Linked DNA regions of Sus scrofa. The protein of the gene in region 2 interacts with the protein of the main gene of each other region in a pairwise test. Links are inferred from orthologs where the notes say so. Each region holds a gene or a part of one and is shown on either strand. Other genes may lie near its edges. The genes, in order: MFAP1, HMBOX1, WT1, ASB7, SH2 domain-containing protein 4A-like, AEBP2 and FAM206A.

What was found.
Region 1: the proteins of HMBOX1 (region 2) and MFAP1 interact in binary tests that used the Homo sapiens proteins (3 or more experiments, as listed by UniProt). The two-hybrid records come from large-scale screens. The link is inferred for Sus scrofa from reciprocal best matches to the Homo sapiens genes HMBOX1 and MFAP1.
Region 3: the proteins of HMBOX1 (region 2) and WT1 interact in binary tests that used the Homo sapiens proteins (3 or more experiments, as listed by UniProt). The link is inferred for Sus scrofa from reciprocal best matches to the Homo sapiens genes HMBOX1 and WT1.
Region 4: the proteins of HMBOX1 (region 2) and ASB7 interact in binary tests that used the Homo sapiens proteins (3 or more experiments, as listed by UniProt). The two-hybrid records come from large-scale screens. The link is inferred for Sus scrofa from reciprocal best matches to the Homo sapiens genes HMBOX1 and ASB7.
Region 5: the proteins of HMBOX1 (region 2) and SH2 domain-containing protein 4A-like interact in binary tests that used the Homo sapiens proteins (3 or more experiments, as listed by UniProt). The two-hybrid records come from large-scale screens. The link is inferred for Sus scrofa from reciprocal best matches to the Homo sapiens genes HMBOX1 and SH2D4A.
Region 6: the proteins of HMBOX1 (region 2) and AEBP2 interact in binary tests that used the Homo sapiens proteins (3 or more experiments, as listed by UniProt). The two-hybrid records come from large-scale screens. The link is inferred for Sus scrofa from reciprocal best matches to the Homo sapiens genes HMBOX1 and AEBP2.
Region 7: the proteins of HMBOX1 (region 2) and FAM206A interact in binary tests that used the Homo sapiens proteins (3 or more experiments, as listed by UniProt). The two-hybrid records come from large-scale screens. The link is inferred for Sus scrofa from reciprocal best matches to the Homo sapiens genes HMBOX1 and ABITRAM.

What each region holds. Positions count from the first base shown.
Region 1 is NC_010443.5:127,740,131-127,744,206, forward strand, and holds the start of MFAP1 (microfibrillar-associated protein 1), read left to right. Parts: upstream 1-1,276; 5' UTR 1,277-1,477; coding exon 1,478-1,556; intron 1,557-4,076. UniProt on the Homo sapiens protein: Involved in pre-mRNA splicing as a component of the spliceosome.
Region 2 is NC_010456.5:12,881,107-12,884,606, forward strand, and holds part of HMBOX1 (homeobox-containing protein 1), read left to right. Parts: intron 1-589; coding exon 590-727; 3' UTR 728-3,500. UniProt on the Homo sapiens protein: Binds directly to 5'-TTAGGG-3' repeats in telomeric DNA. Associates with the telomerase complex at sites of active telomere processing and positively regulates telomere elongation.
Region 3 is NC_010444.4:28,452,967-28,456,466, forward strand, and holds the end of WT1 (Wilms tumor protein homolog), read left to right. Parts: intron 1-1,616; coding exon 1,617-1,738; 3' UTR 1,739-3,041; downstream 3,042-3,500. UniProt on the Homo sapiens protein: Transcription factor that plays an important role in cellular development and cell survival. Recognizes and binds to the DNA sequence 5'-GCG(T/G)GGGCG-3'. Regulates the expression of numerous target genes, including EPO.
Region 4 is NC_010443.5:139,201,407-139,204,906, reverse strand, and holds part of ASB7 (ankyrin repeat and SOCS box protein 7), read right to left. Parts: coding exon 3,320-3,500; intron 1-3,319. UniProt on the Homo sapiens protein: Probable substrate-recognition component of a SCF-like ECS (Elongin-Cullin-SOCS-box protein) E3 ubiquitin-protein ligase complex which mediates the ubiquitination and subsequent proteasomal degradation of target proteins.
Region 5 is NW_018084867.1:67,350-71,615, reverse strand, and holds the start of SH2 domain-containing protein 4A-like, read left to right. Parts: upstream 1-1,466; 5' UTR 1,467-1,589; intron 1,590-1,762; exon of another isoform or gene 1,763-1,817; intron 1,818-4,266. UniProt on the Homo sapiens protein: Inhibits estrogen-induced cell proliferation by competing with PLCG for binding to ESR1, blocking the effect of estrogen on PLCG and repressing estrogen-induced proliferation. May play a role in T-cell development and function.
Region 6 is NC_010447.5:53,632,488-53,635,987, reverse strand, and holds part of AEBP2 (zinc finger protein AEBP2), read left to right. Parts: intron 1-2,740; coding exon 2,741-2,865; intron 2,866-3,500. UniProt on the Homo sapiens protein: Acts as an accessory subunit for the core Polycomb repressive complex 2 (PRC2), which mediates histone H3K27 (H3K27me3) trimethylation on chromatin leading to transcriptional repression of the affected target gene.
Region 7 is NC_010443.5:249,898,494-249,902,397, reverse strand, and holds the end of FAM206A (protein Simiate), read left to right. Parts: intron 1-1,899; coding exon 1,900-1,976; intron 1,977-2,240; coding exon 2,241-2,310; intron 2,311-2,403; coding exon 2,404-2,541; 3' UTR 2,542-3,404; downstream 3,405-3,904. UniProt on the Homo sapiens protein: Actin-binding protein that regulates actin polymerization, filopodia dynamics and increases the branching of proximal dendrites of developing neurons.

The DNA.
Region 1 (4,076 bases), on a different chromosome or scaffold from region 2:
ATGACCTTACAAAGCCCCAACACTGGGAGAAAGTTCTCAATAGCTTCTGTATCACAAAAGCACCAAATGTAAGACTTTAGGGCACTGCATTTAAGAGTTACAGTCATATCAAACTTTTTTTTCTATTCTCTAGATGTCCGTGAGCAGAAACAACTAACTGCCTTCCCATCAGATTTACTCCTTCTGAATAGCACGGTTTTGAAGCTGATAAAATTATAATACAAATTTCTATTTGCTCTATTTTTACAGTCCTTTTCTTTCCAGCTCAAAATTGCTCCTTTGATGGCTTACTTGAGTCATCCATTGTTCCTTAATGGAGATTTGCTCAATTGTATTTCTCCCAGCCTAAGCCCAATTTTAGAACACAGATGAAATAATTTTAGAACGAATCCTTCAAAGCCCTTCAGGAACTTTCACACTCCTCAAATGAAAAATTACTGATAAAATCAAACTTTTCATAGTGTCTAATATATATACCATGCAATTTCTGTACTTCAAGACTTTGCTCATGTGTCCCTTCCCTCCCCACCACAGCAGTTATAAAATCCTTTCTACACTGAATGTGTTTTGACTTTCAATTAGCCTATGTTTTTTACACAGCCCAGCAAGTAAATTGGGATTGTTTCTGATATTACTGTAAAAGCCCTTGAAGACTTCCTAAATAAAATTCAAGTATTTGGAAGACATAAGCCTTTTAACAATGCTCCATACTCCTTAGAGCTAAACGAGGTAAATACAGCAAGTGCTTAATAATTACTTATGGACTTTCATATACAACCATTCCAGCCAAGAATATGTTTTAATAGGCAGTCTCTAGAAAGGAAAGAACTGAAACGCCTAAGAGTGTTTGGATTTCAGGCATTGTTCTAAGCCGTTTAGGGGATTTTTTTTTCCTGCCACTGGTCTAAATTAGCACCACTTGCCCTGACGTAACCCAAAAATATCGCACTACAAACCGCTCGGTCTCATCAAGTGAGAAAATCAGGTGCTATTAGCAGGATTTCTATTTCGATTTAACTCTAATTCTTAGCTTTCAACAATCTGAACACACTGTCCTTCTCTAACTCCTCGGTTTCTTCTTCATCACTTTGCCATTTTCCTCGGCTTCAAACGAACCTAATCAGCGAAACCTTTAATTCGGGTCTTCCGCGGACCTCAGAGTCTTAACCGCAAAGTCCAGAGAGCCATTTCCCGCCAGAAGTGGCGTCCAAATACCGCGAGACTAAGGTCGACAGGGAGTTTATGAGCATGCGCAGTAACAGACTCCACGGACTTTGGCTCCCTGACGTCCTCCACAATCCCACAATCCTCTAGTCGTACATTTCCTGTTTTTCTAGCTCAGCCGTAAGTGGTGTTTCTATCAGTACGCAGCAGTGTCCAGTGGCCTCTGGTGCGGAGGATTTTCTGTTCGTTGACGTTGTACCTGTTCACAGTTTGGAATCAGTCAAGTTTTGGAATCACCGCCGCTGCCATCAAAATGTCGGTCCCAAGCGCACTCATGAAACAACCGCCTATTCAGTCTACGGCTGGGGCCGTCCCGGTTCGCAATGAGAAAGGTACTGTGTTGAGCTGTTTTCCAGTCGGATCTTACTTGTTTCCCTAGCATATTCCAAACCGACCCCGGGCCCACCACCTCAGCCCCAGCGATCCTTAAGACCTTGCCCCCTATTTCTTTCGCCATCAAACTCGCATCCAATCGCGTTGCCTAGAAGGGAAAAAAACACCCACACTATTTCCACCTCATCTTGTTCCTAGAGCCTGTCGGTTCACTCCTACAGCAAGCATCCTCTTCCCTTGGCCTCCACCAATAAACTAGAGTAATAAATAAAGTGAACGCTTGCTGTTTGGAAGGCGTTGTGCGGGATACAATCCCAGTTTTGTTATCCATAATCTGTTTATGCTTTTATAACTCTTACTGTAATTATGTGTCCATCTCTCTCTACTGCATCATAAACTCATAGATTCCTCAAGGCAGGAACCCTCTCTTATTAAACTTTTTAATCCCTTTCAACCAACGCAGTGACTGTATTTGTTAAATTTAATACAGAGACAGTACCCCTAACCTTAAGGAACTCATAGTAGACGTGATTCATGCAAAAAGAGACCTATTCTAAGCAAGTGTGCAGTCTTTCGCACCCCTAATACTGTTACATAGGTGATGTAAACCAAGCGCTTTGAATAATCTCTTCAGACTGGGGTACTCAAGTTGATCTTTAAAGGATAGGTTTGATTCCAGTGAGTGCAGATGGATGAAGCAACACTGTACCTGTTTAGGGAGTCAGACTGAAAAGTCAAGAGTTTTTTCAGTAAGATATTTGGAAAATAATATCACTTCTTTCCTGTTTTTTAAATATAAGGTACTTATCCTTGTGTAACCTGCCTTTTTTTTTTTTTTTCCTTAAACTCTGTGGTTTTTTGATAAGTGCCTTTGGATACATGGAGATCTTATTAATTTAACTGCTTATGAGGTCTATTATATGGAGTTTGTTCCCTGCTGAGGGACAATTAGCTGTTTTGTTACTTTTTTTCCTCTTACACACAGCGCTGCAGTTATCATTCTTTAGTGCACTGCCTTAAGAATTTTAGGGTAGACTCCTAGAAGTTCTTCATCAATTAACTACCTATTGCCATTTGCTCTCCACAGTGGATTGTAAGAGCATTGAAAGTTTTTATTTCCTGTTATATTACCCACAATCTTGGTTGTATGAGATTTTTTTTATTTGCCCGATCTAATGGGTGTGAAACAATAGCACGTTATTTTAATTTGCAATTTCCTGAGTCCAGGATTACTAGGCATCTTGTTTGTGTGTTTATCATCTCTCTAGGTGTTGTCTTCTATGAATTATCTCTTTCAATTACCCATTTTCTATTTAGTTTGTTCTGACACATCCCAAATCTTTTTTTTTTTTTTTTTTTTTTTTTTTTTTTTTTGTCTTTTTGCCTTTTCTAGGGCCACTCCTGTGGCACATGGAGGTTCCCAGCTAGGGGTCCAATAGGAGCTGTAGCCGCCGGCCTATGCCACAGCCACTGCAACTAGGGATCTGAGCCGCGTCTGCGACCTACACCACAGCTCACGGCAATGCCGGATCCTTAACCTACTGAGCAAGGCCAGGGATCGAACCTGAAACCTCATGGTTCCGAGTCAGATTCGTTAGCCACTGTGCCACAATGGGAACTCCCCCAAACTTTAATATCTATTTCCCAGAGTTTTTTGGCTTGTCTTTTAATTATGGAGTCTTCTGTCACACAGGTGTTTTTAGTTTTATTGTTGACAGATTTAACAATTTTGTCTTTTATGTTTTGTGGTGTTTAGTATACTGTTTAAGAAATCCTTGGAGTTTCCTGGTGGCTCAGTAGGTTAAGGATCCAGTATTATCTTGGCTGTGGCTCTGATCCCAGCTGTGGCCCAGTTTCAGTCCCTGGCCCAGGAACGTCCCAATTTAAAAAAAAAAAAAAAAAAAAAAAAAAGTCTTTTGAGTTCCCCTTCCCAATTTAAAAAAAAAAAAAAAAGTCTTTTGAGTAACTTACCCAACCAGAATCCATGAGGACTCGGGTTTGATCCCTGACCCCGCTCAGTGGGTTAAGGATCTGTCATTGCTGTGAGCTGTGGTGTTGATCCCAGATGCAGCTCAGATCCCGTGTTGCTGTGACTGTGGTGTAGCCAGCAGCTGCAGCTCTGATTCAACCCCTGGCCTGGAAACCTCCACATTTCCTTGAGTGCCGCCCTAAAAAGACCAAAAAAAAAAAAAGATTTTTGGTTATCTAAGTGTTTGTATATTCTGAATAGGAAGGATTACACAGTTGTCTAAGACAGACTATAAGTTAAGGAGCTTACAGTCCAGCAGGGATGTAAATGTTTAAGATGTGTTTTTCGTGCATGAGTATTTAGCTTATCTGGAATTGTGTGTGTGTGTGGCATCCATTATAGATCTAATTTTAGTATTTACCTCAGGGCTAGCCAGTTGCCCCAACTACTCCATTGTTTTGCCGTACCCACTGCAAGTTATGCTTATTTGCCATATGTATAACTTCTTTGGTGAGGTATCTGTTAAGGTCATTTTTTTGGTTGGTTGGTT
Region 2 (3,500 bases):
CAGCTGCCTTACAGCAGGAGACTGCCACACGTATTCTCCCCTAGCCATTTCTGCCAGTCGCACTTTTGTCCTGATGTAATTGAGAGTTTGGGGGTTTTGTTTTTTTACAAAAATGCATTTTTATCCCTAAGATGTTGGTGTCCATAGTTTTGTCTCGTTTTCTCAGTTGAGTAGAGAGAGGACATGAATTCTAATAATCTTTTTGTAATACAAGTACCAATCTGGAATTTAATAGCTCACTAGTTTGGCCTTCAGTAACTAGTGCTGTATTTCAAACATAGACTGATCCAGGTTTGATCATCACCACCAGCAATCTTTCTGATAGAAGAAATAAAATCCTCAGCAGGAAAAAAACTATTTGAATGCTTTTTATTTATTGAATCATAAAAATGCCAACCGGAAGTCTCTGGACTTAAATCCATTCAGTGTCTACTTAAATACATTTCACCTCTCTTCTGTCATGCCCCATCTCCAACTCTGTTTCCTCCCATAAATGTTCTGCCTCCCCTTGCCCCAGCATGCCTTTCTATAAGCTAGAGAATTTTACCAATCCATTAATAACAGTTGTTTCTTATTTCTGCACATCTAGGATGACAGCACTAGCCATAGTGACCACCAGGACCCCATCTCATTAGCTGTGGAAATGGCAGCAGTCAACCACACTATCTTGGCATTGGCCCGACAAGGAGCCAACGAAATCAAGACAGAGGCTCTGGATGACGACTGATCAGAGAGGGTGAACACGAGAAGTTAACTTAGTTTAGACGTAGCACCTTAGCAGACTTTCCTCGGTCCTTAACATGTGTTCTTACAGTATAACTTGCAGTTTCTTGTATGTCAGTTAGCCGTTAGGGTCTTGTTCTGTGAAGATGGCATGGTGCCCTCAGCCTTTGCATATACTCTCAGTATTAATTCCAGTAAATAATAACCAACCAACCAACCAAACTTCCCTCTCCCAGCCCCTGAGGCTAGAAAAATCTTGCTGCTCTGTCTTAGCATTCCAGGAAAGTGCTTCCAGGTATTTAGATAGCCCTCAGTTTTCAAATATTAGGCTACGTGTAAAACCTTGGGTACCTTTAGATTCCTGTAACACTAGTTTGTACCCCTTTTCCTTCCCCAAGACTGGTAGGATGCAAGCTGAGGTAGTGTGGCCCAGGATTGACAGACACCATTTGGGGAGTATCCGCAGAGTAAAAGGAACACTAGAATCCCTCCTCAGCGTGGGAGTAATTGATTTCCAGCTGCAATAAGCCGTGCCTCATAATAGTCACACTGTGGCTAGATTATACTTCTTTGGGTGCTGTGCTAAGAATGTCAGTGGAAAAACTCGATCTCAGATTTTGGTTGATGTTAACATGCCTGACACAGACATCCTTTCCTCTCACAAGCTGTGTGACTTAGATAAAATACTGCCTTCTCCTTTGGGACCATGATTAAAACAAACAGAAAAATGACAAAAAAAAAAAAAAAGTCATTAAAAAAAAACAAAACAGAAAACCCAGCTTGAGAGCATTGGAAAAAAAAAAAAAAACAAAAAACCATGAGCTGAATGTCTAATGGATTTTAAGTCCAGTTCTCAGAACCACTATACAGTATGTGGCACAGCTACGTGCCTGCCTGGAAAGGTGCTGGAGGTCGTCACGGAAGCTGCTTTGCCTCCTGTCTGTGTCCCCTTTCCCTGCTACCAAAAAAAGCTCTTTCAAGGATGGAGCTAAGGTCATAAGTAAGTGAACGAACTTCCAGTCTTTGTATCCATTAACCGAAGCCCCCTCCACATGAGAGGTTATTAGAAGACTTTATAGTGGGATTATGCTGACTGACTATCACAAATGCAAATACTTACCTAAATAGCAGCAGAAAAAAGCAGGGGACGTTTGCCACTTATGTGGTGGGTCTGCGAGATACAACAGGATGTGACTGCTTTGGTGTTCTCTTTACTCTGTCCTTGGAGAGGTGTGAAAAGCTATATTGCTACAGGCAATTTATTTAATAATTGGAAGCCATATTGATAATGGATGTGGTAATATTTGTAAAGTTTAATCTACTTTAAGCAGCAGTAACTAATGGAATTTTTTTCCTTGATCACATATGTAGCACTTTTGTTACTTTTTAAAGATATTTATATTTGATAAATCTTTTTTTCATTTTGAGAATTCAAAATACCAAACAGTGAACTTGGGTTATAAAGTCACCCTGTGATCACCTTGTCATCTAGTAGCAAAATGATGAACTATTCATGCATCAAAGAAAATTACATCTGCTGGCCTTGGATGAAAATGATCTCTTGGCATCTCGATTAAAGGACGTGCTGTCACTGTGGGTAAGAGGAAACAGCCTTCAGTGTGGCAGCGTAGGGTGCGTCTGAAAGAGGCACAACTGCTCTATATTTCCTGCCTCGCTCCATCTCTCCTTCCTATGTACAGAGAAGCCTTGTTTAAAGGGGAATATGGGGCTGGCTATTAAGCAGGGCTTTGTCTGTTTATCCATTACCTGAAAATGATTTCTGAGATTGAAGGAGGGTGCCATTTCCTTACCTCTTCACCCTTCTTCCCCCACCAGATATTTTCAACTTAAAACCATTGAGAGAGAGAGAGAGAGAGAATGACTGACCTTCTTTGTTTTTTTTCCTTCCTCATTAGTGAGATACTGAATATCCGCCAGCTTCTCGCTGGTCTCACTCCTCCACGTAAGGCATATGCTGATGAGCTCGTCTCCGCGTCTGTTAATCCTGCTTACGTCAGTGTAAGGAAGCCTTTGAGAGGCATGAAAATGCCACCTTATATGGGTCTGTGACTTTATATAGAGTTATAGGCAGGACCTGGGCCTGCTCCTGTCCATGGATTTCAGGGGGAAAATGTACATATTTTTTTCCAGCTTTCAAGAATTGAAGTAAAATGGAGCAGTCTTTTCTGTTTTACTATATTACTTGAACCAACAAATTCAAGAGTAGCATTCGTTATTCTCAGGAATGATCCCCCCACTCATTTTCTTGCTTGGTGCGTTTGACTTTTTATTTCAATTAGGAGATTGTTATCTTTCTTTCCTTTTATATTATTTAGAGAAAATATACCATATCTTTCCATTGTGGTGGAATTTTGTCTGCTTATTCTCAGTTGAATCAGAAAGAAAAGGAGAGGGAAAAATACACTGTCTGACAAGCCACATCCATGATTTATTGTAAGGAGATTATTATAATTGATAGCTTCTTTATGATGGGATGGCTAGTATCATTTGTTCTTGCTGGTCCTTGTAAAGAAGCAGACTCTTAACTGTTAAGGCAGCTGCGGTTTCTAAAGAAATACAGTGATTGCCAGAGAAGAGCTAAAAGGTTTCATTGTTTCCAGACCTTTAAGGAAGGAAAGGAAGCTTCAGAGAATAAGAGAGAGTGAGTGTCCATAAGGGGAGTACCAGGTCCTACCTGGAAATCTGGGAACGTGAAAGGGCAGGTCTGCCGGTGCAGGTAGCATTGCCTTGGGTTCAGTAGGAACCGCAGGAAGGAG
Region 3 (3,500 bases), on a different chromosome or scaffold from region 2:
GGGAAGACAGACAATAAAGACCCAAGATCAGCAGAGTTTAAGTCCATCCAGAGACTGAGGAGAATGGAGACCAACAGGAGGAAGGGTGGGGATTTGCCCCTTAGGAGGTGACCTTGGACAGTGTGGCTGGGGGGAAGAGTGGGGCACCGGAGCCAGCTGAGGAAGAGCAGACCAACAGTGAGTGGGAGGTGAGGGAAATGCAAGGACCTGAACCCTGTGCAGCCCCAACAGGCTGTATGTACAGACAGTCGAGGCACCTGTGCCCCAGAGCTGGTGGGCTGGGCATCTTGTTCCTCTGCTCAGGTGCCTTTGGTGTCACTTCTTTGCCTTAATCCTGAGCTCATAATTTGGTGGGAAAGAGTTATCTCCCCTTGTACCCCACTCCCGCCCTGTGCTTTTCTGTATATGTACAAAGTGACGCATGTCACCGGCAGATTGCTGAGGCCTGTATTTGATTGCTCTCCCCGCCCCCCACCCACCACCTGGTTCTGACCCTGGGACAGTGCCTCCCCTGGGCCATTTCTCAGTGCTTGTCCCATCCGGTGGTTCTCAGAGAAGGCAAAGTGTGGGACAAGCCATATCCCGAGAAGATCCTCTGCTGGCACAGGCATTGGCTCCTGTGACATTTTTACTTAGGATAAAGCCATGGCTGTGTGTCCATTATGCTGAGAGGAGGTGAGATGCAGCAAAGTGTGTGGACTTTGGAATCAGACAGACCTGGATGCAAGTCCTCTTGCGTCTGCCCTCACTCGTGGTCCAGCCTCATCTGTAGAATGGGGATAATAGCGCTCACCTTACAGGCTGTTGTAAGGAGAATACAAAATGATGTGTGTACGTGTATGTGTACACACATACATAATAAGGCCAGATATGTATGTGCGATACCTAGTACAAGGCTTGGCATTATTAGGCATTTAATAAATGCTAATTGTCTTTATCCAAAATGAAGCTTGAAAGGAACTTCTGAGGCCTCCTTAGATGAAGATGCCTCAATTTTTTGGCAAGCGTGTTAAAAATTTCAAAGCCATGCCTCAACTGGAATCTTCTGTATAATGGATATTATGCTCTGAGTAAGCCTTTAAGGCAAAGAAGCAAATACCATGTGCGCTGATGCCAGTGATTTATTTAAAGATGCCGAGCCCGTCCAGAAGACCTATACAGAGACACTAAGGCTGCAGTCGCAGCTCTGCCACCACCTGGCAATCTACCAACAGTATCCAAGGTGATGGGCCCAAGGCCCTCACCTTCCAGTGAAGCTCAGTTCCCTCCTTAAACAGCAAAGGGGAAACATTTACAGTCTGGTGTCAGACGTTGAACCAAATATTGCCCCCTCCCCATTAAAGATGACTTGCCCAGACATTTCAGATAACTACGCTCATTCCTGCGCTCCCATTCCCCAAATCGTCTGACTCAAGAGCAATTTTATAATTTTCGTGATATTTTAATCCGTAAGGCCCCAGAGACACTGCCCGTGCGACGAGCCCGAGCCGTTAGCTTAAGGAAAGAGCTAGAGGGGATCTGGAGTGGGTGCCTTGTGGTGATTTAACTCTGGCCTTTGATAACTTGTGCCCCATCTCTGCACCGCAAGTGTCTCTGACTGGCCATTGTGTCAACAGGTGAAAAGCCCTTCAGCTGTCGGTGGCCCAGTTGTCAGAAAAAGTTTGCCCGGTCAGACGAATTAGTCCGTCATCACAACATGCACCAGAGAAACATGAGCAAACTCCAGCTGGCGCTCTGAGGGCTCCACCCCGGGCACCGCTCCGTGTCCAGGCAGGACGGTGTGTGAACGACTTTGCAAGCTGACTTTAACATTCCTCCTGGCTCGCCTCTCAAAGAAGGAAACGGCGGCCGACCTTCATCCAGCGTCCGAGACAAGATGCCTGAACCACTGGATCCTACCAGGTTTGCCTGGAGGAGTTGGTCCCTCTGCTTGGCCACCTCTGAGCCCTGGAGAAGTGGCTCTCAGTGTCCAGTTAGTTAAAAGCCCGTCGCCATGTGGTCTGGATCCTCCACTGTAAGAAGAGCCGTGGTTGATACTGTTCCTCCCCCATCCCCCCGCCCCCACCCCGTCTCCCTTTACGCTCATTTTCACAAGGAATGGAGTCATTGTACCATTTTCCATCATAGAATATTTATAGGCCAGGGCATGTGGATGTGTCTGCTAATGTAAACTTTGTCATGGTTTCCATTTACTAACAGCAACAGCAAGAAATAAATCAGAGGGCAAGGCACTGGGGGTGAGTCCCGTCCGACATTCCGGAGGTTAGGCAGGCTGCTAACCTGAAGGCAGGATGTAGCGCCACCAGGCAGCTTTGAAAACGCCAGCATTTCAAGCAGCTGAAAAAAAGAATCAGCACTAACCAGTACCTCTGCACAGATCTCTAAAGGAATCTTCCCATTCAGTGTAACTCAGTGTTAACAGGAGCACAGTGCTCTTAAGAAACTGTGCTTGAAGATCTGAGATTTTGTTTGGGGGTTTCTTCTTGACTTTTCGGAGTTGTAATCATAGGCATCTTCAGAGATGCACATATCTCCTCACACAAAGGAAGTGGAATCCATTTTCATCATCTGGGGGGTGTCCTTAGAATGTACAGACCACGCTGGTTATGGGGCTTCGAGTTGTTAAAAATTAAGGTGACTCTAAAAGGAAATAAGGGCTGGTCCAGGATCTCCCACTGATAAGACTGTTCCTAATAACTTAAGTAACTTTGGGTCTACAAGTATATGTGGAAAAAAAAAAAATGAGACTTGCTAGTGTGAGGAAATCCATTGTTTAAAGGTGGTTGGGTATATGTGTGGTTTTTTGGGTTTTTCTGTTTGTTTTTTAAGGGAGGGAGTTTATTATTTACTGTTGCTTGAAATGATTGTGTAAATATATCTATCTGATAATGATTTGCTCCTTGACAACTAAAATTAGGAAATGTATAAATGTTAGATGCATCACTGTTTTGGTGTTGATCTTCCAACATATTGATGATAACACTAAAAATGTAACCTGCATTTTTCACTTCGCTCTCAATTAAAGTCTATTCAAAAGGAAAGTGGTAAGATTCTATCAGCTGTATTGTGTTTAAATCTTGAGGACAGATGAGCTCTGCTAAGCAGGTGAGATGCTGACAGTGACATCAGTGACCACTAGTTAAGTCTGTCCAGGTCCTGACCACTATTTGTTTCTCTCCGTTGAACCTCAGGAGGCAATTACTGGTCCTAGAAGCAGCCAGAGAGCACGGCTTTCACCTCTCATCATAGAGCGATGGCTCTCATGCTGTGATTGCATAAGGGCAGGGGTGGGGAATTCTGTTTCCATGGTCATTTATATCTGGCTATCATTGCATCACTTCCTGTTCCAAGTCAGCAGAGGAGACCAGAGAAATACAAGAAATAACTGGTCTTTTTGGAAAGGTTCACAGATAGGCACTGCAGTCAGAAGGGGATAAGCTGAACACCTAGCACAACCTAATTCGCAACTGTAGTTGCTATAAATTAGTTCAGCAGGTTGA
Region 4 (3,500 bases), on a different chromosome or scaffold from region 2:
AATTTACAACAATATTATACCAGCAGACAACAGAACTGATGGAGCCATGCATATATAAATATTGTGTATCTGAGTTGGTATGACAGAGCAATAAGGAAAGAAGGGATGGCTGAGGTTACCTTTATGTATGAAATAGCCACCCACCTCATGTTACACACAACCAATTCTGGATAAAGTCCTAAATACCACAAGACTTTTTAGAAGAAAACACAGGCAAATAATGACCCTGTGGTATGATGTACCAGATACAAAAAGCACAAGCCATAAGCCAAAAGAAAAATACAATTCACCTACATTAAAACGCAGACTTCTGTCCCCCAAACAAACACAGCAAGAATGTGAAAAAGCTGCAAACTGGAAGACTGTAGCAACATATATAAACAGCTCCTACAAGTGGTAAGAAAAAGACAAGCCAAGCAGTTTAGTCTTGCAATGCTTTGCTATTCATATATCATTGGGGGGGGGGGCAAAAAAAAAAAAAAAAAAAAAAAAAGAGGCAAGCAGATCACCCAGAGGAAGTGCAAAGCACCTAGTGATACACGCCTGGGCATCCTCCCACCCCATAAGGACAGAGCCATCAACAGCCTTCTTTAAAGGACAATTTGTCAATGTCCATCAAAAACAAACAAACAAAATTAACATCCCTTTGAAGGGGTAACTGTATCACTGAACTCCTAGGAATTATCCAAGAGATAAACTCTCATCTGTAAAAAGATCAGTCAAGGATTCTCTATAATTCTGTTTGAAGAAGCAGGAAAATGAAAAATCAGAATGTCCAACGACAGGGAATAAATTTAAATAAATCACACCCATAAAATGGAATTTGAGATACAGTCATGAACTATCACTTAGCTAGTGTTTTGTGAAAAAAAAAGAAAATCCAGATGTAGAGCAGACCACGGACAAAAGGGAAGCAGGCTAGAAGAAGGATGGAAAAAAATCACACACTTCTAGCACAAACCATGGCTGCAGGGACAGTGACCGCCTCCAGGAAGGAGCTGAGGCTGGAATCCAAGGGGCAGCGGCTCCCCTCACTGAACAGTCTGCACCATCCCCTTATGCTCTGTTTCTGACCACTCTCATTTGTGCATGGATTACCTTCTCAACACACTATCTCCTGTGGAGAAAACTGCAGCCACTCTCAAAAAATACAAAGGATGGTTTAAATAAACAGTCATCCATACTAATAAAGCCTATATCCAGCAGTTGTAAAGAAGACAGTAAATCCATATGTATTATTATTGAAAAGGGACAAGGTTTCTTTTTCATGTAACGAAAAGGTTTCAAAACTGGTTCTGGCGATGCATGCTCAACTCTGAATATGCAAAAAGAGGACACTTTAAATGAACTGTAAAGTATGTGAATTCTATCTCAATAAAAGATGTTAAAAATATCTACACATACATACACACACATACACACACACACACACACACACACACACAGAGAAAGGGGGAGAGGGTGAAGATATAGGGTTCAGCAAACTGGGGCCCTGAGACCAAACCTGGCATGCCATTGGTTTTTATGAATAAAGTTTTATCAGCACACTGCCACACTCATTGGTTCACATTAAATAAGGCTGCCTTCATACCACAAGGGCAGAGTAGTTAATGACAGAAACAGGGAGGATTCGCAAAGTCTAAGATACTTAACTATCTGGCTTTTTACAGAAAAAGTTTGCTAACCACTGATATTAAGAAAATCTTAAGTTATATAGCTGAGCAAAAAAATAACACTTGCAGAATAATATGGTCAGCATGATTTCATTTATATTCTAAAACTGCATATCACACAGAAAGACATATTTTCTATGGGTACATAAGGAAATGATCTAGAAAGATAAGGACCAAGCCAAACTCACACCCATGGGTTACTTCTGGGCAGGGGTAGGCAGATAAGGACTGGGAGCTGGCCAAAGGGGATTTGGGCATTATTTGTAATTTATTTGAAAATGTGTATTATTTGAAGAAGACAAGTTCATGTATTACCAGAGTAATGGAACATTAAAAAAAAATGTTTTACAAGCAAGGCTGGCACAAGTAGAAAGTAACATGATGAGGTGGAATTAAAAAACATGAGTTCTTATCTTGGTCTTAATTTTACTGAACATTGCCGGAATTTTAAGTATTCTGATCTGACACCCACCTATGAGTTTTTTTCAGGTCTTTCTCCTGGTATTCTTCTTGGTTTCCCCCTCCTTACCTTCAGGGCTGAGGTTTTCAAGCTTCAAGGTGAACCGAGGTGTGAGCAAGGGAAGACCCACACCTCACTACACACACTACAAAGGAGCGCAGGTCAGCGAATGGCAAGGTCCTGTCCACAGCCAACTATTTCGGGGCATGCTTCCTATTTCAGGGTCATTCAGATGTGTGCTGATTCCTGATCTCAGGACTAGCGGACTTCTATGTTTTCTGTACTTCAAGTTAAGTTTGCAATTAAGCTGGACTAGTCTTGATAAAGTACACTTTAGAAATGAAACTAAATGATTGTTAATAAGCAATCCAGGCCCTAGAATGGTACATAATGGAACCTGAGTCCCAACCAGGATGTTTTACACCTTAATTTACAAGAATAATATGAGTACAAATGATAAAATACACTTGTTCATCTTTAAGAAAATAAATTAAATGGATACCCAACTGGAGAAAAAAGTAAATTAGTTTAAGATAATGATTAGTTATTATTAATTATGGGAGGGGATTGTTTTTCAAGGCAAAAATATAAAATGTGAAGTGCATTTTTCAAACTGTATATATTTAACACAAAATTAGACCTCTGATAACCAATCTTATAGGATACCTAGAAACCATGTACAATTCTGGAAAAGCCAAGTATTCTAAACAGCAATAAAAGCACCTAAATTTTTTTTTTTAAGTGATAGAGTCAAAAGATAGGGTGTCATTACAGCCACGATATTTAAAGGGGCCTGCACGTGCCCTGTCTGCTTGAGCAATTCTAACAGGGGAAACTTGAGCAACACTCTAATTACCAATACCACAGCCACTTCTGCTTCTGAAACGAAGCAATTGGACAACCTGAAGAAAGGCTGCTTTTAGTTGAATAATCTGGGAAAATCTGGCTGTACATAAACTAGAATTATAGGAGGAAAAAAGCATATTAACAAGTTTTTTAGACAATTTGGTTTCAAACAAAACTCAACATGATGATAATCTTCACAAAGGAGAGAGAATAAGAAATTGAGTATGAATAAGAAGTATTAAAAATTGTATAAATATGCACACTTATATTTTAAACTAAACAGAATTTCATTTTAAGTTTCTTCTTAGGGAAAAAAAGATTTTGCTCCTAGTACACTCACCTCCATGTTCTAGAAATACTCGAACACATCTTTCCTTTCCTCTTGCTGCAGAGAAATGAAGCAGGGTCCAGCCATTAGCATCCCGGCCATTGGGGGAATAGCCTTGTTCTAACATCTTTCGTACTGTGTGGACATCCCCGGCAGCCACTGCAGCCTGGATCTGCAACTCTTCCTGAAGTTC
Region 5 (4,266 bases), on a different chromosome or scaffold from region 2:
ACTCTGCCCTGGGTGGGCATCGGAACTCCTGAATAGGCGTGCTGGTGACACCCATCCTATGTGTCTCTGACTCACCAAGGACCAGCAGGAAGCAGAGGCTCAGCCCCTGTCTCCTGCCAAGGGCCCGTGGCCCAGACCTACTCTCTGTAGGAGTGTTGCTGCCATGTGAAGGCGACAGTCCTCCACAACGCATTGCAGATGCCAGAGTCGGAAATGTTTCCACTGAGAGCATGGCCCAAAGGGCAGAAAATAATTCAGGGCCTCGTAATTACATAACAGAGCCCCTTGATGTTTTTTGGAGCAATTTTACCATGTGGAGCATTTGAACTGTAACACATCCTGCATACCTATTGTGTGTCTGGGTGTTGGGTAGGATTCAAACCTTCCTGGGGTAGATTAGTCCTTACTTGATGTTTATGATTTCAAAGAGGTATAAAACATAGAGCTGCTGTAGCAGGCAGTGCTGCAGGGAGGATGGCAATGCAGGCCCTGGCCATCTGTTCCCTGCAGGCCCCCAGTGTCACCACTGGCCTGGCTCCTGGCAAGTGTTCATTAAATGGTTCTCAGATGTGTTAAATGCTCACTTTACAGTTCTTCCACTGCCCATGCAAGAAGTGTTAGGCTTCCTTCAGAGCTGGCCACAGCAGCGAGCCAGGGCCAAATGACACTCCAGCCAGAAAGACCCTAAGGGGCCATTCATTTAATAAGCAGTGGAACCAAACTGAACCAGGAATTCTCCCCAGATAGGATCTCCAGAATAGCCTTTAAATAGCTAGGCAGGAGGACTGACCTCTACCCCAAGGCTCTAACTTCTGTAGTACGGGAAGCCTAGAAATGGGAAGGTTTCATTCTGAAGGAGCAAGTCAGGCAGGCTGCGTGGAAGAGGACCACATCGCAGTCTATAACCTCTCTCCCTGACACCTGCACCATGGGGTCACCAAAGCAGGCTGTTTGCCGCACACATTCTGAACGTTTCCTCTAGAAGGAACATGCCCCCCCAATGTTTCCACGCTGCTTCTACTGAACTTTCCTCCCAGATTTCCTTTTCCCTCCTCGGCCAGCTCCTCCTCCTTCAGCAACCACCCCAACCTGACTTGGCCGCTGCTCTCAGCATTCCTTTTCTTCTGCCCTTCTCTTTGGATTTCTTTCATTTTCTCTCCCCGTCCCCGCTGTCTCCAGTCTCCATCTTTCCAGCTGTTCTCCTCTTTGGTCCTGTCCTCCTACAAAGCCACACCCCTCCGGACAAGTGCCCAAGAGTTTGGTAATTTTCTCAAAGTCAACAACAACAACAACAACAACAACAAAAAGTGAGCTCCAGAGGCGCCAGAACAGAAGTTCAGCCCGCGGAGCGAAGAAAGGCCCGCCCGCCGCCGGCTCAGGCCCCACCTGCCAGGAAGCCTGGTGCCTGGCCGGGATCTCACCACCGTCCGCAGGACGCGCGCGGCGGGACCAGCCCCGGTGCCGCAGGTTCGAACGGACGGGCGGGCTGGGGACGCGCTTGGCTCATGTCGCGGCCGCGTGTCTGTGCAGCCGACTGCTCCTTCTCCTCCCTCGGCACCCGATCAGGCGGCCCAGCCCCGCGCAGGCAGGTGCGGGCCGGGAGGGGCCAGATGCGGCCAGTGAGTGCGGGCGAGCGGGCGGGCGGCGGGGGTGGATGTCCCCGTGGGTTCTGGTCCCGCTGGCGCGCGGCGCGTTCCTCCGCCGGGGGGTCAGGTGCTGGCGGGGCGGGCGGGCGAGTGTCCGGTGTCGGTGTCCGGTGTCGCTGCACCGGCGGGAGAGCAGAGGCGCTGAGGGCCGGCCGGCGGTCGTGGTGAGGGGTACGCGGGCGGCGGGGCGCGCGGGAAGCTCCTGCTGCAGGCGGCCGCGTCCCCCGAGGGGCGCGAGCGGGGCTGCCAGGGAGGAAGCGTGCAGAAGGCCGGCAGTGGCCCGTGGGGGTCGCGGGCGGAGGGAAAGGCCGGGTCTGAGGGCGCTTTCTGCCTTTGAGGGTGCGGGGTGGGGCCCAGGGTGGGCGCGCAGGGCCCAGGGTGGGCGCGCCGCCCCCCGGAAGGCGGACCAGACTGTGGCCGCAGGTGGCCTGGCCGTGACCTTTCCCTGCTCTCTCCCGCCCTCTGGTTCACGCGGGCTCCCCAGAGGTGGCATGAGGGGCAGCGAAGAGGGCAAAACTGTGCAGGTTTGCTCAGAATTGTCTTACCCTCCCAAGAGTCACTGGAAGAGCAAGTGAACTCCCCTCCTCTCTTTCTAAACTTGGAGTCTGCTCACCTCCTAAAAGGCTTTGTTTGATTGCCTGTTTAATAGAAATGACTTGGGATACAATCATTATTTTAAGTGAATAAGTGAGTGAAGGCCTATCCCAGGTACAGATTTGGCATGTGAGAGGAATTTCTGGAGAAATTCACGTACAGCGATTTTTAAATACCTGAAGAATGGTATGTATTTATCAAATTTACCAAACTGCTGTCACCCATGGTAATTTGTTTTATCCTCAAAAATAGCCCTTTTGCAGATAGATTAACAAGGTAAAGTTGAGTAAGAGCATGGAAAGTCTGGAAACAGGGCTTTTTAAAAAGAATTAGAATTCAAACTATGTTTTTAACATTAAAGTACACTGTCCATATTACAATATTTTTATGATTTAGGCGTATCTCTGGTAAAGTAAGATCTCAGAGTCATTCAAAATACAATTCTTGGAGTTCCTGTTGTGGCTCAGTGGTTAAGAACCTGACATAGTGTCCACAGGAGACGGGTTGGATCCCTGGCCTTGCTCAGTGGTTAAGTGAGGATCCTGCATTGCTGCTGCAGCAGCATGGATTGCAGATGCAGCTCTGATTAGACCCCTAGCCTGGCAACTTCCAAATGCCGCCGGTGCAGCTATAAAAAATACCAAAAAATATAATTACTGTTTATAAAACAGTGGCTCTGGGAAATATGGGTGCCATGACCCTTTGAATTTTTGGAAAAAAAATAGCAGATGTGGACTCTTTGCTTGTTGTCATTTCTGTGTTTTAAGAATAGTGCTGCTCAGGAGGAAAAGAGTTAGCTGAGTTTTCCTTTCTACTGGATCTTAAATAACTGGGTAGCACTCAATGAATTGGATACGGAAGTTACCTGTGTTTGATCGTATCAAGCACTGATTGTCAGGGAAACCAGGGGAAACCCCTGGTTGGTTAATTTCCTTGTTTCTGTTTCCGCTGACCCAGCCCCACTTGCGTCTGGAACTCCGCACTATAATGTAGTGTATTCCTAAGATGACAAAGATTCAAGTTCAGGCTCATTTCGTGGCAAGGAGACTGAGTCCGAGGAAGGGAAGTGACAACGCAAACATCCACAGCTCAGGAGAGGCAGAGCTGTGAGCCGAGAGCTTCCTGTGCTGTGTTTGAGGAAGGAGTTCCGTTCACGCTGGTGGGTGTTCACAGCCTCCGAGTGGCATGCATATTATTCAGCCTCACCCCACAGAAAGGTTGTAAACTATGTTCCCAAGTTTCCCCTGAGGACAGGGGGAGGCCAGTGTCTTTCCTTCAAGATCCACTTTAACGTCAAAAATCTATTTGTTGCAAAAGGCAAAACGGCACAAAATCGCAGCTGTGAGGTCTTGACTGTGTCCCTTCCTGCCATCCTTCTGCCCCCTGCCCCCAGTGCTGCTCTTGGGGGTGGTAGGAGGGGGACTGAGGAGGCTCAATACTCAGTGACTGACTGGGCATCAGTATCTGCGCCTGCGCCAACATGACGTCACTTCCCGCCATCTTTCCGGGGTGAGGGCTTTTCAATGCCCAGCGTCCCCAAAGCCCACCTGCAGTTACAGAGATGAGGCTTCTGCCTCCCAAGAAGGACCCTGCCTCATGTACCTTCGGTTCACCGTTTCCGCTGCCTCTAGAATTTGCTGGTTTTCATTCTGAAACTTCACCCGTGGGGCCTCATCCTGATGATGTTCTGATTCTGGGCTCACGGAGAAAACCTCCTGCAGTGACGTGGAGCCAAACCGCCCAGTGCCGCCCCTTTCCATCTTCTGTGAAATGGGCAGAGGGAGGGACTGAACACCAAGGTTATGGTGAAGGTTCATAAGTTACTGCATGTGCAGGGCTCAAGGTGGTGGCTGCCCAGCAGGAGTCAGCGCTTGTCACCAGTGCTGGAGGGAGGGGGCGCTGTGAAGGTGGCACGTGCCAAGTTGTAGTTTTTAGGCTCTCCCCACACCGTCGGTGTTGCTGTCACCCAATTCAAAATGGGGAACAGAGTAGAAGTTTCCAGCTTCCCTGAGCAGCTCCTTCTCCA
Region 6 (3,500 bases), on a different chromosome or scaffold from region 2:
TTAACCTGAGCAAGGCCAGGGATTGAATCTGTGTCCTCATGGATTCTTAAGATTTGTTTCTGCTGAGCCACTTTGGGAACTCCCCCTAGTTCAGTATTCTTGATATGGACATAACTTGAGGTTAAGGTCTGAATGCATACAATCTGAATTTGAGGGTCTCTTTTATTATTCTTAATTTAATTCAATTGATGACTTCTTTCTGAGTGAGGAGTAGTAGATTTGAATGATATAGAGGGGTGAGTTATTGTTACGTTCTCTGAGTGCTTATCCTTTTCAGGAGAAAGCATATTTGGGAGTATGGAGAAAGTACACCTTTTTTTCCTCATTAGCAACAGATCAAATAGTAAGGGGATTGTTTCTCATGAGTTTTTCTCTCCCATAAATGTCATTTTTTCTTTTTTTTCCTTACTGATACTCCCTTGTTGTTACGTTGTTAGTCTTGTGGGTTCTGTTAATTTATTACTAGCTGGTGTTTTGCTTATTTCCTTTTGAGGAAAGATCTAATGAGAAAAAAAAATACCAAGGTTGTGTCATTGAGTGTGCTAACTGGTATATTTGTATAGATGTACTGAGAGCTCCATGAATAGTGGAGGTAAATCCACTCCACTACATTAGTAGTCAGAATAGTATGATAAGTCAGCATACATGTAACTCAGAATATGCTGTACCAGCAAATCAAGCTGTTTCTTTTATTGTCAATAATATTTAATTACAGATGATCTTGAAAATAGTACATGTATTAGAAAGCTCCATAATTATAAAATACTAAATTTATTTTCCTTTATTAGGAATAAAAACTACAATTTATAATACTACTAGTGGGATGAAAATAGAAATTAAAATGTTTTTATCAAATCATCAGTGTATAACTTTGTTACTGATCACAATGAAAGGTTGCTTATTCTTGGTTTGTGAATTTCTTATTTTTTATTTTTATTTATTTTTTTGCTTTTTAGGACCACACCTGTGACATATGGAAGTTCCAGGCTAGGGATTGAATTGAAACTATAGCTCCCAGCCTACACCAGAGCCACAGCAATGAGGGATTCCCGACCCACTGGACGGATCGAGGCCAGGAATTGAACTCTCATCCTCCTGGATACTAGTAGGATTCATTTCTGCTGTGCCACAACAGGAATTCCCTGAATTTCTTATTTTAAACAATGGCATAACCTTATTAATATAAACTACACTATGACTTAGGGCATTTTTCATATGCATTTATTTTACTCACTCATAATCTATAGCTGTTGTATTTCCATTTCACAAATAAGGAAACAGGCTAATAAGTAAAGCACATTGCCCAAAGTCATGGCTGACGGTGGAATTTGGAGTTAGAAAAATTTTGGCAGACTCATTGGCATTCAAGAGTGTATTTATGGTTTTCTTAGGTTGTTAGAAGATTATTTAGAATCAAGAAAATGCTTGTCAAAAAAAAAATAATATTACCACTTGTCAAATTTGGAAAAAAAAATTTTTGGGTCTTTTTTTAGGTCTATACCTACGGCATATGGAGGTTCCCAGGCTAGGGATTGAATCCAATCTGTAGCTGCCAGCCTGTGTCACAGCCACAGCAGTCAGGATCTGAGCCGCATCTGTAATGTACACCACAGCTCAACGACAACGCCAGATCCTTAATTCCCTGAGCAAGGCCAGGGATTGAACCCTGGATACTAGTTGGTTTGTTAAGTAACCACTGAGCCATGATGGGAACTCTCTGGACAATTTTTGATTATGTATTAATGTATATTATTCTTGAGGTGTATTTTGTATGTTTGGCCTAGGTGAATGAGATCTCAGTAGTGCACTTTGGAGATGTTTATCAGATTGTTGAAAATGTAGGACTGGTACTCAGAAAGAGATGCCGGAATAAAATGTAAAATTACGTGAAAAAGGTAGTAGCTGAAATGTAGAATCATGCAGTCAGTGGTTAGAACCTCACATACCAAGGGGCAAAATTAACCCACATTTACTCATTAGCTGGGAGTTCTGCTTTTGTACATCCTAATCTTGTCAGCCAGATGATATGTTTAGAAAGCAAAGAAAATCTTGGATTTAAACACTAGATTGAGGAGCTCCTGCAGTGGTGCAACAGATTGGCTCAGCGGCGTCTTTGGAGTGCTGGGATGCAGGTTTGGTCCCTGGCCTGGCACAGTGGGTTAAGGATCCGGCATTGCAGCAGCTGCGGCTTAGGTCTTGACTGCAGCTCGGTTGTGATTCCTGGCCCAGGAATTCCATACCCTGTGGGGCAGCCCAAATGAAAAGAAAAAGAAGAGAAAAGAAAAAAAAACAGAGTTCCCGTCGTAGCTCAGCAGAAATGAATCTGACCAGCATCCATGAGATGCAGGTTCAATCCCTGGCCTTACTCAGTGGGTTAAGGATCTGGTGTTGCTGTGAGCTGTGGTGTAGGTTGCAGCCACAGCTTGGATCTGATGTTGCTGTGGCTGTGGTGTAGGCATAGGGCCGATTGGACCCCTAGCCTGGGAACATCCATATGCCATGGGTGAGACCCTAAAAAGATAAAAAATAAATGAATAAATAAATAAATAATAAAATATTGAAAATTAAAATTAAAATATTGAATATTAAAATTTGAAAAAAAATAGTAAATTGATACTTGTTCAACAGGCAAGTCTTTTTTACTTATCACACATTTTTATGGAAAATGAACTATTAATATGGCTGTTTGGCAGACTGTCATATTTTTCTAAACATTTACCTCTTTTGTATTGACTTTTAGCACGGCCACATGATTTCTTCGATGCACAAACACTGGATGCGATAAGACATCGAGCCATATGCTTTAACCTCTCAGCTCATATAGAAAGTTTAGGGAAGGGACACAGTGTTGTTTTTCATAGTACTGTAAGTATTTGATTTTTTTCCCCAAATATTTCCCACAATTTAACATTTTAATGATAAAGTTGAAATTTTTAGCCTTTAATTTGAGCTATTTAGGAGTAGTGGGGTGGCATTTGGACTATTAGGCATCTGAAGATCAGACACTGACTGGAAGTAAACTAGGTATCTTTTCTTACCTCTGGTTTCATTATGTGTAAAATTAGAACATTAGACCTCTTTATTACTTTATCATCTATGTCATTTTATTATTAAAATTTTTATTAAAGTATAGGTGATTTATAATGTGCCAATTTCTACTGTATTGTAAAGTGACTCCATCATACATATATATGCATTCTTTTTTATGTTCTTTTCCATCATGGTTAATCGCAGGAGATTGGATATAGTTCCCTGTGCTATACAGTAGAGCCTTGTTGTTTATCCATTCTATTTTTTTAATTTAATTTTATTTTTTTTGTCTTTTTTGCCATTTCTTGGGCTGCTCTTGTGGCATATGGAGGTTCCCAGGCTAGAGGTCCATTTGGAGCTGTAGCCGCCTGGCCTGTGCCAGAGCCACAGCAGCGAAGGATCCGAACTGTGTCTGCGACCTACACCACAGCTGTGACCCACACCACAGCTCACGGCAACTCTGGATCCTT
Region 7 (3,904 bases), on a different chromosome or scaffold from region 2:
CACATGTGAATTTAAAAGAAAAAATAAGTGCTGAGGTAGTGAAGAAAATCACTACGAGAAAATATACAATATTTGCTTCATAACATTTTCCATTCCTAAATCATTGCCAAATTAATACACATCTAGCAATACCCTCTACTTCCACACAATGTTCAATTTTACAAAACATTACCTCTCTCCTCTCCAGCTCTAGGCAAGATGGACAGTTTATTAGAAGAGAAGGTATCACATCAAGGATAATTCAGTATCATTTTAAGTGTCCTGACAATCCCACTGGACAGGAACGTTTCAGTGGATGATCAGGTCCTTCATTTACTGAGTTCATACTGAGAGTTTCCGCCATTTACCCTCCCGTTCCAGAAGACCCTTGCGTATATTCCTCTTTATAGGCATGAAGGCCCCTAATAACCTAATTTATAGTGATTTTTCCTCACTCAGGAAGCAAAAGGACTTTAAAAACCATGGGCCTTTCTTAAAAGTCTGCATATTACAAGTAAAACAATTAGTGCTTAGGATGTCCCTGTGATAAATCTTTGTCCGAGACAGTAACACTGTTGCTGCTACTGAGGAGCAGAGAGGGGTCTGCAGGTGAACCCACTGTAGAAAAGCTTTGATTGGATCTCAGCACTGCCAATCTCTTATTCTCCCAAGGGAGGTGACAGAAGGGGGTTAAAACATTTGTTTTGACAGAGACCCAGTGATAGACAGACCCTCTGGGACAAAACCCCAGTCCTTCCTCCAGACAGTGAGGAGTCATACAGACTAGTATTTTGAAACCAGTAGCCACATGCAGAGGAGTGAAGTGCACATGGTAACACCTGAATGCTGTCAGGTAAAAAGGCTGTGAAGAATAGCACCTTGATCTCAAATGTTCACTGCAGTAAAAATTCCTGGGGGGAAAAAAGAGCAACAGATTCCCCATTGTGGCTCAGGGGGCTATGAACCCAACTAGTATCCTTGAGGACTCAGTTTCAATCCCTGGCCTTGCTCACTGGGTTAAGGATCCAGCATTGCCACAAGCTACCGTGTAGGTTGCAGATGTGCCTGTGGCGTGGGCCAACAGCTACAGCTCCGCGCCCACCCCTAGACTGGCAACTTCCATATGCTTCAGATGAGGCCCTAAAAAGCGAAAAAAGAGCAACACATGAGACATGCTTGCCTCATTTTCCCCTAAGCCTCCTTGTAGATAAGTCAGAACCTCCCTAGGTAGACCCATTTAATGCAGTACATGAAACTATAATCATGCCATAACATTCAAACATTCATTTTGACAGATACCAAGATATACTATCTACTAGTGGGTTATAACGGGTAACTTACTCTTTTCTGCTACACAAAACTTTTCTATATTTTCCAAATTTTCCTCAAAGTGCATTTTATTAAATTTTTAAAAATCCCTTCTTCAGAAAGTCTTAGTAATTCAGCCTAGTAAAGAAATTCCTTTATCTATTAAGTTCTAACATAAAAATAAGGTAAGAATCTTAATGAAACTAACTGTACAATATTGCTATCCTTTCTCGATAATGTTTAATTTTATATTATTGATTATTGATAAGATTTCTCTACCCTTTTGAAATCTTTACACTTGGCTACATGCAGCTTTCTCATTTACAGTTAAATATAAAGTATAAGTTAAGATAGAATACATTCTCAATATGTAAATTACCTGTTATCACCTGTCTTAGTCTGCTTTTTCCCCTAGAGCGTAGGATGTTGCCTCACCCATAGCAAGCGTTTAATATATAAATATTTTAACAAATGAGTGATTTTTCTGTGCTGAAGTCATTTTTATTTAAAGTAGTACTTCCAGGAACATATCCCATTCTAACACTGAAAGCTACTGCTCAAAGAAAAGTGAGTATGTACATCAGTTCATTGTTTCCTCCCTTTTATTATCAGGGGGCACAGTTTCTAACAGAACTTGCACCTCTGTGTAAGATTTACTGCTCAGATGGAGAAGAATACACAATATCTAGGTGAGTTAATTTTATCTTTTAGTATTTAATTTTTTTTGTTTTTGGCCACACCCATGGCGTGTGGAAGTTCCCAGGCCAGGGGTCAAACCTGTACTGCAGTTGTGACCTGCCCCACAATAGCAACCCTAGCCCCTGAAGTGACAACGCCTGATCCTTAACCTGCTGCACCACAAGGGCACTCCCTACGTCAGTTACTTTTTAACCACAATTTTGGAGGAACAAATGAGGTAATATTTTTCTTCAAAACAATTTTGTTTTAAATAGCTGTGTCAGAGGACGGTTGATGGAAGTGAATGAAGACATTCTCCATAAGCCATCTATTCTTCAAGAGAAGGTAAAGGGGACTGGAGCAGTCTGATCCCAGCCACATATTTTCTGTCTGATTCCCTGTCATTTGACAGTATTAAATATTCTGTTTCCCCTCCAGCCGTCCACCGAAGGCTACATTGCAGTTGTGTTGCCCAAATTTGAAGAAAGTAAAAGCGTAACAGAAGGGCTACTGACGCAACAACAATATGAAGAAGTCTTGGCCAGTCGCGCCAATGCCACATCAGCTACAGCGTGAGGACTGAGGTGCAGTAAAAAGCAACAGGCCTTCTCTCCTCGCCTGCCAGCCAGTCAGTGCCCTAAGGAAGCAGCAGCGTAGCTGAAGCCTGCTTCCCACCCAGCCATCCGCAGGGAGGCCTGATCTCAACACTCGACCTAGTCTTCCCTCTTCGTCTCCCATAACAGGCCTTGAATCTGTTTGTCTTCACTCTCCCAGATCTGCCTGCCCAGGTGCTCCCTGTGCTCTTCTTTTGTTTTTCTCTAACAACTGGCAAGTGAGAGATGTTTTTCCCATTAAAAACCAACAAACAAAGCACTTTGAGGAAAATCTGAAAGACATCGAAGTTAGCATAATTTACCCATCATCCTGTAACCCATTCTTAGTAAATACTACGTTTTGACCTAATTCTGTGTAAATGTTATGGCATGGTTAATGTTTTGGCCTCAGTTTTCCATCGCTTTGAAGTTAAAAATCAACAGCTGGCCTTTCTTACCCAGTCTGCTTCAGTGTGACACCACTAAAGGCATCTGGTGCCACCCCTTTTGCCCCAACTTCCTCCCCCTTAGGTTGCTGGGAAGCAGCAGGGTGTGGAGTGTGCCGTCCCTGTTCCTTGTGGGTTGGCCTTCACCTGTCCAGCAGTGTGGCACTGTGACTTCTGAATGAGGGACACGGGAAAAGGCTTTGTAAAGAGCAAAGGGCTTTGCTGACATATGGAAGTTTCACACTGCAGCGTGAAGTAATGTGTGCATTTGTGGACACTCAGTCTCTCACTCGAGTTACAGGGTAACCAGCTAAGAAGTTACTGAGCAGTTACTGTAGTTCAAAGACACAGATGCCTTTGAACAGAACAAAAGCTTTCATGTCATTGTTTAAAAAAAAAACTATGAATTTATGGTTTAAGATTATATATTTACTTATATTGAATTTCAAATAAAAGGACTTTTAAGATTGTTATTTTTCCTTAAGGGCTGCAACCCATGCATACATATAAATAATCTGTTTTTAAATAAAACAATTATCCTTGATGTGTAAATTCTTTTGGTTTCCATCATCTTATACTGTTGAAGTCATAAGTTATCCCCCTCCCACCCCAACTTGCACTTAAATAAGAGAATATTCTTACTTCTGGTATATAAATGATTTTGGAAATAAAATTTTAAAATTATTTTTGACTCACAAGAAAACTTCTTTAAACTAACGTGCCAGCATGGCTGTCCCCTAAGTATATTCACCAGACATAATACAGGTAGCAACTCTTTATTTAAACATCCACTTTGATGGTGCTATGAGCTAAAAAATGTAAGCACAAAGCAGCAAATTCCCATTTCATGTAGCACAGTTGATTCCCAAAGATGTCATAAAACAAAGATATTAAAGATAG